Linked DNA regions of Arabidopsis thaliana. The protein of the gene in region 2 purifies or fractionates together with the protein of the main gene of each other region. This does not show direct contact. Each region holds a gene or a part of one and is shown on either strand. Other genes may lie near its edges. The genes, in order: AT4G18060, NRPA2 and ELF7.

What was found.
Region 1: the proteins of NRPA2 (region 2) and AT4G18060 fractionate together in Arabidopsis thaliana (co-fractionation; one large-scale study listed by BioGRID). This does not show direct contact.
Region 3: the proteins of NRPA2 (region 2) and ELF7 fractionate together in Arabidopsis thaliana (co-fractionation; one large-scale study listed by BioGRID). This does not show direct contact.

The regions. Positions count from the first base shown.
Region 1 is NC_003075.7:10,028,001-10,031,754, reverse strand, and holds the start of AT4G18060 (SH3 domain-containing protein), read left to right. Parts: upstream 1-1,721; 5' UTR 1,722-2,092; coding exon 2,093-2,152; intron 2,153-2,357; coding exon 2,358-2,480; intron 2,481-2,603; coding exon 2,604-2,673; intron 2,674-2,777; coding exon 2,778-2,932; intron 2,933-3,029; coding exon 3,030-3,131; intron 3,132-3,213; coding exon 3,214-3,411; intron 3,412-3,485; coding exon 3,486-3,548; intron 3,549-3,619; coding exon 3,620-3,709; intron 3,710-3,754. Other genes in the region: AT4G18070 (suppressor), read right to left, coding at 1-186, 811-916. UniProt on the Arabidopsis thaliana protein: May be involved in the recruitment of DRP2A to the accessory protein complex and in the negative regulation of its GTPase activity.
Region 2 is NC_003070.9:10,484,936-10,488,689, forward strand, and holds the start of NRPA2 (nuclear RNA polymerase A2), read right to left. Parts: upstream 1,890-3,754; 5' UTR 1,736-1,889; coding exon 1,555-1,735; intron 1,459-1,554; coding exon 1,373-1,458; intron 1,284-1,372; coding exon 1,164-1,283; intron 920-1,163; coding exon 843-919; intron 596-842; coding exon 532-595; intron 401-531; coding exon 330-400; intron 216-329; coding exon 138-215; intron 53-137; coding exon 7-52; intron 1-6. UniProt on the Arabidopsis thaliana protein: DNA-dependent RNA polymerase catalyzes the transcription of DNA into RNA using the four ribonucleoside triphosphates as substrates. Second largest core component of RNA polymerase I which synthesizes ribosomal RNA precursors.
Region 3 is NC_003070.9:30,002,058-30,005,811, forward strand, and holds the start of ELF7 (hydroxyproline-rich glycoprotein family protein), read right to left. Parts: upstream 2,027-3,754; 5' UTR 1,913-2,026; coding exon 1,317-1,912; intron 1,239-1,316; coding exon 1,170-1,238; intron 1,090-1,169; coding exon 982-1,089; intron 898-981; coding exon 717-897; intron 628-716; coding exon 551-627; intron 468-550; coding exon 348-467; intron 1-347. Other genes in the region: AT1G79740 (hAT transposon superfamily), read right to left, coding at 2,310-2,710, 3,017-3,754. UniProt on the Arabidopsis thaliana protein: Component of the PAF1 complex (PAF1C) which is involved in histone modifications such as methylation on histone H3 'Lys-4' (H3K4me3). Involved in regulation of flowering time.

The DNA.
Region 1 (3,754 bases), on a different chromosome or scaffold from region 2:
CAGTCTTCTTATCATCATCTATCTTCTTGACTTCCCGTGACTCATCATCCGAGCTGGAGCTGCTGCTGCTGCTGCTACTACTACTGCTGCTACTAGAGCTCTTGTCATGATCATGGCTTGAATCAGTGATCTCTATGCGTTCATTAACACCATCATCGCTCTCCTTGTCACCTTGGCTTCTCGAATCTAGCACATCAGTTTACAAATCCAATCAATATCACAAACAGAGTGACTTAACACTGACTATTCAAGTCAAATCTAACTATTGTACCATCCAGAGAATGAAACATATACTAGTAAACAAAATAGGCACAGCTACTACTAATGAAACCAAAGCATCAGAGATAAACAAAACTCAGCAAATGATAAACAACTTCAATCATAATCATGAATCTGATAAACAAAACTATCCTTTAGTCCAAAACAGAAAACTAGATTCAACCCATATGGATTACGAAGCAGAACATGCTAAAATTAACCGAAAGATCAAATTTTTACAGCTTGAGATCCCAAAATTGTGAGCCTAAAACCCCAATCAAAACACAAAGAAGAGTAAAAAAGATACCCATTTGTTTAGATCAATGAGCACAAAACCATAAAAATCAAAACTTGAAGAAACTATACAGAGAACAAAGTTAAAAAAAAACTCAGATTTAAAGCGAAGCAAATATATAAACAAACAAGAAAGGTGGCCTAAACGTGTGTGGTGTGAGTGAATAATTGAGAGATACAGAGAGACAACAACAAGAAGAAAAAGGCAAAAAGAAGAAAGTAGTAGTGAGATTATGGGGTGTTAAAAGAATTAAAAACCATGGTTGTTGGATTTGAGGTTGATTAGAGTAGAAGATCCTTGTTGTTGTTGTTCTTCCTCTTGCTTTTTCTTGGCAGCTTTCCTTTTCTTAGCACCTGAAGGCATGATTTAGGCTAGGCTCCTTTGGTGGGGATCGATCTCAAAAACAGCTATGGCGGATCGTGGCTTTTGTCTCTTTGATTTCTCTCTGTTAAAATATAATGGCGTCTTCTTTTCTGTCGAGCCGTAAATGTTTCAAAACTCAAATTGGTGGAAGTGGGAAAGTTTTAGATTCTTCTTATACATACATGTGAAAGGGTTTCTGAGTTTTATTGCTTTTTTTTAACTGTAAAATCACTAATTGATCTTCTTGTAATTTTGTTTCCGCGTTTGTTTCGTTTATTTTCCGCGTTTGGTTTACTAATTTAGCTATTAACGAAATAGTATAATGGATAGAGATTATTTTTGTAAAGTTTGTTCAAACAAAATCATCTTTACAACTTGATTGTGTTATAGATAAATTAAAACAAAAAAATGTTGTCATTCAGTACTTTAGATACCAATATACATTTGTCTTTTGGTTGACTATAATTTGATTTAAGTTTACATCAACAATAGAACCCTGTTTTAAGAACATGGAATTTAATGAAATATCTCACTGAAATTTTAAGTCGGTAGAGTAGGAATCTATACTATACTGAGAAAGGCAACGTTAATAATAAAATAAAAGAAAAAGTATATAGGTTGTCTTTTCAGATTATAATTATGTAATGGCAGTTAGGACAAAATGATATGGGAGGAGTGGGGACAAATAACAAGTGGTTATGAGTTGTCCATGTCAGTTTTTTTGTTAATACCTATACTTTTAAGTTTTAATTAACTTAATCTCAGTTTATGCCAAACGGATTTAGCTAATTTTAATTAATTACTCAATAATAATCGTAAGTCGTAACGTAAGGTTTTTAGTAGAAAAGCCTCGTCTGCTTCCAAATAATTCAATCGCGAACGCTCCTTTTAATCAGACCGGACCGGACCGGTTTGGTTCAATCAATCGAATCGACCCGACCCGCTTAGATCGATGTGTGTGCTCTGTGATTGACTGATTTTCTCAGAGGGATAATCAGTGACACATCGAGTCGAAGAAGAACATACATTTCTACTGAATCAGATCTGATCTGCTTTGTCAGTTTTTAAACTGTTCTGATCTAATTGAGATTTCTCAATTCCACTCAAAATCCTTTAAAGCTTGTCTCTTTTTGGTATCTCTGAATCAATTTGGGGAAATCAAGAGGAGAAGTGACAATGGATGCGTTTAGAAGACAAGCGAGTAAGCTTAGAGACCAAGTCGCAAAGCAGCAACTGGTAATTCCTTTTCATCGCCGCAACTAGTTTCACTGTTACCGATTCAGCGAAACGAAGCTCAATTTAGGTTCTTTGTTGCTAATTTGGATTAAAAAAAATGGAAACTTTTTGATGGGTTTTGATTTGTATATTATTGAGTATTATAGAGTTACACAATCTTGGTTGTGATGATGTGTTGATTGATGTGTGGTAATGGGGAATGTAGGCTGTGATAAAGCAATTCAGTGGGACTGGTTATGAAAGCTCAGATGTAATGGTGATTGATGAGCTTGAAATGCAAAGGCATCATCAACTCGATAAACTTTACCGCTCTACTCGTTCTGCAAAGGTTTGACTGATATTGACCTAATGGCATTGTCACATTTTATATGAGTTCATTGTTGGGGGAGAAGGTTTCAGTATGATTCATCGTAGCACAATACCCTCAAACATATGTTATTGTCACTTTCAGGAGTTCCAGAGAGATATTGTTAAAGCAGCTGAGGCATTTACCACGATCGGGCTCAGACACATTGAAGCAGGTACTTAACTACTTATGAGTGTCTGTTTTGTGTTACCTATCATTGAATTAAGTTATACTATGATACTTTTGTGAGTTTTCTTTTAATATTCTTTAAAATTTCAGGAACCAAGTTGTCTGAAGACTGTTGTAGGTATGGGAACGAAAATAGTCAGAACATTGATGAGAATATACTGGCCAAGGCTGCAGCTATATACGGTGATGCACGGAAACATGTAGACAAAGAACAAGAAGACTTCAACAAGCTTTTGGCTTCTCAGGTTCGGCTTGGATTATCTGTGTTTAATCTTAGTATGTTTACGTAGAATTAAATCTAGTAGATAACAAGAGAAAACCTTTTTGTTAAATGCCGTTAAGGTTTTGGATCCTCTAAGAGCTATGGTTGCCGGTTCTCCTCTTGAAGATGCTCGTCATCTTGCTCAACGTTACAGCCGCATGAGACAAGAAGCAGAGACACATGTAATCATCTTAAGATCTTAGTTCTATGATGATGTTGGCTATTTTATTTTGTAATGTAAGTTAAAACTTAAAAGCAAAACAGGCAACGGAAGTCTCTAGACGGCAAGCACGTGTAAGAGAAGCTCCGATTCCAGAAAACGTAGCAAAGCTTCAACTAGCGGAAGCAAAAATGCAAGAGCTAAAAGCAAATATGGCAGTCCTTGGTAAAGAAGCAACTGCTGCATTAGCCGCTGTTGAATCACAGCAACATAGACTCACTTTCCAGAGGCTTGTGGCTATGGTATGTTTTACATACACACACACTGGATTTTTTTGTCATATGCAGATTACTATTTACCTTATCGCTTATTCTAGGTTGAAGGGGAGAAGAATTATCACTTAAGAATAGCAGCCATCCTCAGTGACATTGAAGCCGAGGTTAGTATTGGATGAATCTTTCCCACATCTTTTTCTCATCAAAGGCTCACACTTTTGGTCTTACCGCGTAGATGGTAACCGAGAAACAACACAAAGAATCTGCTCCTCCTGCGATTCCAACAGAGAACGGCTCAGAGAAAACGTCATACTTTCTTGCTGAAGTAAGTTTTATCTTCCGTAATATTATCATCGCATATCTCACAGAA
Region 2 (3,754 bases):
CCATACCTTGAGAACAAGGCCGACAGGAAGCAAATATTCCCTTCCCACTATCCTGTGTCCATTAGAAATAAAGTTAACCTGTAGCTCAAATTGTAGGAAATGTCATCCACATTCCAACATCAAAAGTTAACACTTACCAAAATCCAACTCTGGCACTTCCATTGCGAAGATAATACAGTTTAACAGTAACAGATGACTGGTCGTCCCTAACACACCTAAGAATTAAGAAAAAAGAACCGCATGAAGAACTCTTTAAGATCTATTGCCACTTTAGGGGAAGATTGGCATTACTATATGCAACACATAAGGAAGAGATAAACTTCAAATACCTAGTGACAACTGCCTTGCTAGAGTATCCTTCCTTACGATCACGGAATGAGTTCCGAATCATACTTGTTGGCTATTATAAGAGATTCTTAGTCAGTTAAATTATGATACAAGGAACTTCATGGGAATACACTATACCCATAAACTTTATAAGCAAAACACTATACTCATGAACTTAGTCAGTTAAAAGGCGAGGTAGCTTACATGGTTCCGCTTTGGTGCAATAACACATCGAAACACTCTCTCAATCCCATTCAAAATAAAGTACCTATTTCAAGAAAAGCTAAAATTTATCATGATCGACTTATAGAAGGGAAGATATATCAAGAGCAACATGAATGCATAGACAAAACAGATGTTTTTAATCACACCCCAGTTTCCATTGCTATAAACATAGCTGTCATGCTTCACAAAAATACAGTTTAGAAAAAAAATCCACAGACACAAAATCACATATTAACCACAAGCCTCACAGTGGCTTTATCATAAGGTATAAGAGGTGGAAGAACATTTACCCTCCCATTTCAGAAGTTGACTCTTTACACTTTAACAGTTTCCGGCAATCAGCACCCTTTAAGCTACAAAGCTTTGACTGCAATAAAGTACGGATATCAATTTCTATTAGCTCATAAACAAAGACTTGTAATCATAAGCAAAGTCAAGAAGATAAATCATTGAGCTAAGCTTTGTTCCATTATCAGTTATAAGAACCAAATGTACAAATTAAAGCATCCAGCCATAGAAGTGACTCTCGCTTTGGGAATAGTCATATCTTCAGGAACAGAATCAAAGTAAAAATAAACAATAGCGAAATCAAATAAACAGATCACACTCACCATGAGCATAATAGGAAATTGCCCAAAATCAAACTTGTCTCTAACAACGACTCCATCATTATACTTAAAGCAAACATCAGCCATAAACGTTCCTGTGTACGAAATCTTCGCTTGCCTACACTGTTATTCATTAAACCAAAACCAAAGTTACTAACACACCAACAAAATATATAAACCTCGGAAACATGTTCAAAACAAAAAAACTTCACCTCAAAGGGAAGCAAAGGCTCTTTCCTTGATGTTGATTTAAAACTCTCCTTCTGTGGAGCAAATACTAGAGGATTTTCTAACCAAAGTATCATACTTGTCAAGGAAATCAGACACAACACAAACAAAAATTGAACATTACAAGAGCCATAGAGTAAATTCAACACAAAAAAAAAAAGGATATTGCTCAATTCATTCTCGGTGTTTGGATCGTAAACAGAAACGGGTTTGATTCGATTGAACATAACATCGAGTCCTTTCAGTGTCATGTAATCGAAAGACTCTATATGATGAGTAACGAGATTGTGAAGCTCCTTGAAGTCTTCCATCGTTGGAACCGTCGAGTCTTTCGCGTTCACAACCATGATTTAAGGTTTGCTCTCAAGCTAGGCCGGTTCTGAGGTTTGAGGAAGCTGAAATTAGGGTTTCGGAGGAGCTTTTTCTTGCCTGAGGAAATTGATGGAGAGGCGGAGAAGTCTGAGAGAGAAGGCGGCGCGAGAAAAAAGGGAAAGGGTTTTAGGAGTTTATTGAGTTTGGGTTTTACTGGTTGTCGATAACTTTCAAGTTTATTGCAGATATAATCCTCATCTTTAAAATGTTTATATTTCGAACCCTTAATTCTTAATAATTTTTCGAACGAGATTGGATACGGATTTTTACTATTTTTTGGTGAATTTCTCTATTGAACCTTAACGATATTTGGTGTTTAAGCTCACTAAAACAACGTTAATCAAGATCGAACAGGTATAAAATAAAAATACTATTATATCACATTTTTAAAAAGAGCAAAATTGATTTGCTACTAAAGCTAGTTAAGTGAAACTTTCGTGTATTGATGATATATTGGATGATGTGTTTGTTTGTTTTGCAAGATATAAGTTTAAAAGTGTGTATCTATACATACTGTTCGAAACTGATTTTTTGGGATCCACCGAGTGGTTGAATTATGCCGAAGATTTTTCGTTTGGGGAATGTCGTGTATGTTGGATTATGGTTATGGTCTTATGGATGAGCGCGATCAGACAATTTGACCGTTATAAAACAAAATTAACTAAAACTTTCGATCCGGGTCCTTTTTCTTAGCTTCTGGTTTGGGAGATGCATCAATGAGGCAATTATATGGTTTGGATGATCCTTGGGAAGACAACAATAGATTTTTCCTCGAAAAATTTTCGACGTGCAAGTTTGAAAAATGTTATGTGACTAGTCGGACAGTATTTACGATAGGAGAAGGGTAAGTATATTTTGCGTGAGTCGTGAGTTGTGTGTTGTGTGTGAAGCATAGTCTCATATTCAACGTTGGATCTCCATCCCATTAGAAACAACAATGAGAGGATCAGGATATCTATATAAGATCTCATATTTTCTACAATAATCATACCTTTACGAATATGATACCAACGTTGAAATATCACAATTCCAAAATTATGTTGTAATCCAAATGCTAACATGAATCTAATGCCGATTCATAGCTATCCAAAATGATCAAATTATGCAATAAACATAATGATATACACATCCAAACCATTTAAATGCAGTAAGACTAGTATGTAATGTTGTACCTTGCAATGGCTCGCATAATATTGTAGAACTCATAAATACTGTACTAGTTTAGAAAAACGTATCTTACTCTTGTGAATCTATTTTGTCATGCATAAGTTATAGTTATCCATTTTGATCATAATATATATATATATATATATAGTTAATTAAAATCCAATATTTTTGTCTGGACATATATATAAAAGCTTCTATTCCTTTCTTGGATCTACAAAAACCGTTCCTCGAAAGCATTGGCTTGAACATGTAAGATCTTAGCTCTGAAACGCATTCATTCTGCTGACTTACACTACGTGAGATTTTGTGTCACCAATTAGATCTCTAGAAGGGTATAACGCATTAACGCTGGACATCAATGTTGTGTATGTGAGATTTTGTGATCAAGACGTTCACCAACATAAACTCAAGTGTACATGTAGCTAGGCTTTGGTGTGTCAAAACATAATAATTTATTATTCGACCATATGATTTGACTGATTCCGTTTGTATTTGAGAGTTTATATCTTTGGCTTCCAACTAGTAAGAGTATCAGATGATATGATGATCACAAGGTAGCCATCAAAATCACCTTTATCCAACTAGTGATGTAGATTTTGAAAATTCAATCAGAACTCTCAAAAACATCATAATTGATTTCGGTCACCGGATTGACCGATTCTGATTGTATTTGAAAAAGTTTATGCATTTTATTTTTAACTTCTGAGAATGTAAGGTGATATAATAGTTAGAAATTAGTCATCAAGATCAATTTCTTCAGTAGCAGCAAGTTTTCATATTACGAGAAATAAGAGCATTTTCCATCCATAGCACTAACAAGGCCTTCC
Region 3 (3,754 bases), about 20 Mb from region 2:
ATCCAAAAGGCAATACACTAAAACCCTAGCAAAGAAACATTTGAACAAGAGTTGGAGCAGAGAAAAGGGAAAAATTAAAGACCCAACATCTCTCTTAAGTGTTGTATAGTTAGACCTTAACAAGGCTGCCTATTTTCCCACCCGATTGATTACACTATCCTATAGGAAAACTATTCGTGCATGTTTCCGACCACAGGAGATCCTTCAGAGAGAGCCAACATAAAGATAATCTGTAAAGTGTCAGCTTTCAAGCTGTGTCTACATGTAGGACTATTATGAGAAAATTTTGCCTGATTCGGTATTTCAGATTTAAGATTGTCTGCAAGGGGAAATAAAGAGCATCCAACCTATCAAAATATGGCAACAGTGGTAGAACTTCAACCGGCTGCAAGTTTTTATTGGTGGCATGAACTGGTCGAGACTTGCATGCCTCAAAGGATGCTTCAATATCCTTGATTTGTCTCTCTCTAGAGACCAAAGAAAAATAAACCATTAGACCTTTTTTTTTCTCACTTTCCTTAGAAATACACATATTTGAGAAACAACACACCTATTGTTAAGATTGTGCAAGATGTTGATGCCTCCTTTCATCTCTCGCAGTTCCTTTGCTTGCTTCTCCGTTAGCGACTACACAAGGTAAACATAGGAAATTGGAAACTGTCTCTAGAAGCTATACATGGCAAAACAAATTTCCAACAAGCGAGATGGATAGATACCTGTCTTGCCGATTCGTTATTAATAGAAGAAATGTATTGTGTTTTGACGAGCCAAGACATGCCTTTATCAGTAGGTCTTTCTTTCCTCCGGATGCCATCTTTCTTAATAGGTGTAACAGCGTCATCATCACGCAAGAGTTCTTCATCTTCAGGGGCAAGAGGTGCCTTGACTTTGGGAGGGCTGAAAAGAGCTACAACAGTAAGTATCCCCAGTAGATGAGGTCGCTGGCATTAAAGACACTAAGACTTTATTGAGAGCACATACTTGTACACACTTAGGTCAAGCAGATCCAAGGGTATTCCAAGATCAGGCTCGACAAAGATTTTTGGTTTCCATAATTTCTCCAGGGATGTGATGGTATACTTTGTAAATCTAGTGGGATCAAAATAGCTGGCAAGTAAGGACAGTAGAATAACACAGAAATAAAATTTGGCAATAATAGAGAAACATACTGATCTTTATCCCGTTTAATGGTCATAAGCTTAAGCTGTGCACTAGGGTCAGGGAGCTCATTCCGGAACCTTGAAGAAGAAGATGAATATCAGAGTCTAACAATAATATGTAAAAAAGATTTAGGTAGTCGTTTGAAGAATACTGACTTGAGCTTGCAGATGAAGGTGGTTGGTTTCTTTAACCTATTCTCGACCCTGTCGGTGGTGAGTAGGGGCGTCGGCTTCTTCTCCTCGGTGTGTCCCTTGGGCATCTGAGACTTGTGAGAATTTTTCATCTGCTGTCTATGTTTTTCGTCTTGCCTTTGTTTCTCTAACTCCCTCTTCTTCCTAAGCCTCCTCTCTTCTTCGGTCTCGATTTTCTTAGAATGAGGAAGATGAGACCTGTGGTGGTGCTTCGATGGATCCGGTTTAGCACGCTCCCGCCTTCCAACCTGCTTGGAGGCCCCTTTCTCGTGGTCATTGGGACCCTGGTGTCGAGGAGGATCGGGAACGAGCGGAGGAGGAGCTGAGGGAGGTGGCGGAGGAGGAGGAGCTTGGAGCTGGTTGAATTGAGGATAGTGGGGCCCCTGCTGATAGTAAGCATGCGGAGGAGGAGGCGGCGGCGGAGGATATGAGTACGGTTGATGCGACGGTGGTGGGGGAGGAACAGGAGGGGGTAACGACGGCGGGGGAGGCGGAGGGGCCAAAGAATTTTGAGATGGTGGCTGAGGAAGAGGAGGATACGGCGGCCGGTACGACGCCATTCTCGGTGTACTTTGTGATCTGAATCACCTAAACCAACTAAAACGAGTCTTCTTGATATATATTAATTATATAGCTCCGGTCAGACTGATTTTTCCTTTTTACTTTAATTTGGGCCTCACTAGCGGCCCAATAACCGCTACTATCATATGGGTTCTGATAATTACGGCTTCAATACAAACAAAAACAATCTTAAGCTCACCGTTTTATGAATCCCAAATATGAACGAAACATGCTTTGTACCACCAAGCTCATCGACGTGTGACTGTGTGAGGAACACAAAATATTTATTTTCTACATTGATAATTACTCAAACATTATGTACAGTATAGCGAACCGAGGTGTGTGGTTAAACACTCAACACGCTGGACCAACTTATGAAAACCTCTTACCAGGACTTCACAAGCCGAAGATGTTATGGTCGTTGGCACTGAAAATAGCACCGCCAAACTGCCTGGTGTTCAAGTCGCCTCCATCAAGGGCGGTCCCAAAACGGTCAAGCCACTGGGCAGGACTGGGATTCTCTGCCTCTTCCACCCACTCCGACATCATGTCAATGTCCTCCAGGGCAATTGGGTCTGTCTCCAAGGTTATCATCCTCCCTAACTTTAGATTCTGATTCACGTACGCCAACTTGTTCAATATTTCTCTGTCAATCTTGTTTCGCCTTTCCCAGTGCATCTGCTGGAATGTGCTCCATTGGCGTTCCAAGTTGTAACCGCTGCAAACTTGGCTTAGTATTCTGATGGCCACCCGCTGCAAAACAGGTGCTGAGTCACCAAACTGCTCCCACCAGAGACCTGCATTACTAAGCAAACCATTATTAGACATCAACTTCTAGTCTTCTAGTGCTTCGTTACCAATTCTAAAGATCCCAGACCATACCCCTAATAGCCTGGTGAGGGGAAGATATCTACTAGTTTTGCAATTCGGTTTACTACGTGCCAGGCTATATCAACCTGGACTTATTTAGTTGTGTAATAAGACCATAGCTTTAATTGCGGTCATAGATAAGTGGATTATTTTTCTCCCGACTCAGACTACCTATACATCTCTGTTCACTAGTCATGACTTAAAGAAAATATAAATGTATTTATTGTCCATACCTGGTGAAACTGAATCCCTCGCCTCCATGGCCAGGTTACAGCCGAACATTCCCTTTGCCCTAGTGAAAGTGAATATCTGATTTGTAATATCACGCCGTAGATCGCTAGTAGGAAGAAGTTTCTCCAACACTTTGAAAAAATCTTCTTTCAAGGAAGTGAGGAACTTTATCTCTGGGTTATACTGAATACTGGGGTTCAAGAATGCTGCTGCTGCATGAAGAGGTGAATGCAAATGCTCACACCAGTTAGTATCAACTATGTCAGAAAAGACCTTATGCTTATTCTCATCCATGATGTAGTATGTCCGTATTGACTCCTTGGCCTTGGACATTAACTCGTATATAGAACCTACAGCGGGCTTTCCAGTAGAAACTTCCCTCAACACTTTCAGGATAGGCTCGGAAATAGCCACACTTTCTTCCACAGCTCTCCAGAAATCATTATCCTCTAGGATATTCACGCATGAAATGCTCTGTGGTTTGTTAGTATTTGTGGTATACTCTGGGCAATTGAACATGTGTTTTAGCCTTGCCTTTTGTTTCATCATTGACTGTAATGATAGAAAATTGGAGACAGACCTTGTGACACCGCTTCGGATAATATCTTGCCCGCCTGTTAACTTTCTCAATAAATCTAGCACGGGGCTATTGTTGTAGACAAACTTAGATATGACCTGCGCTTGCGATATACATTGATTGACCCAATCAACCTTGGAGAATTCTTCTAAGATGATGTTCA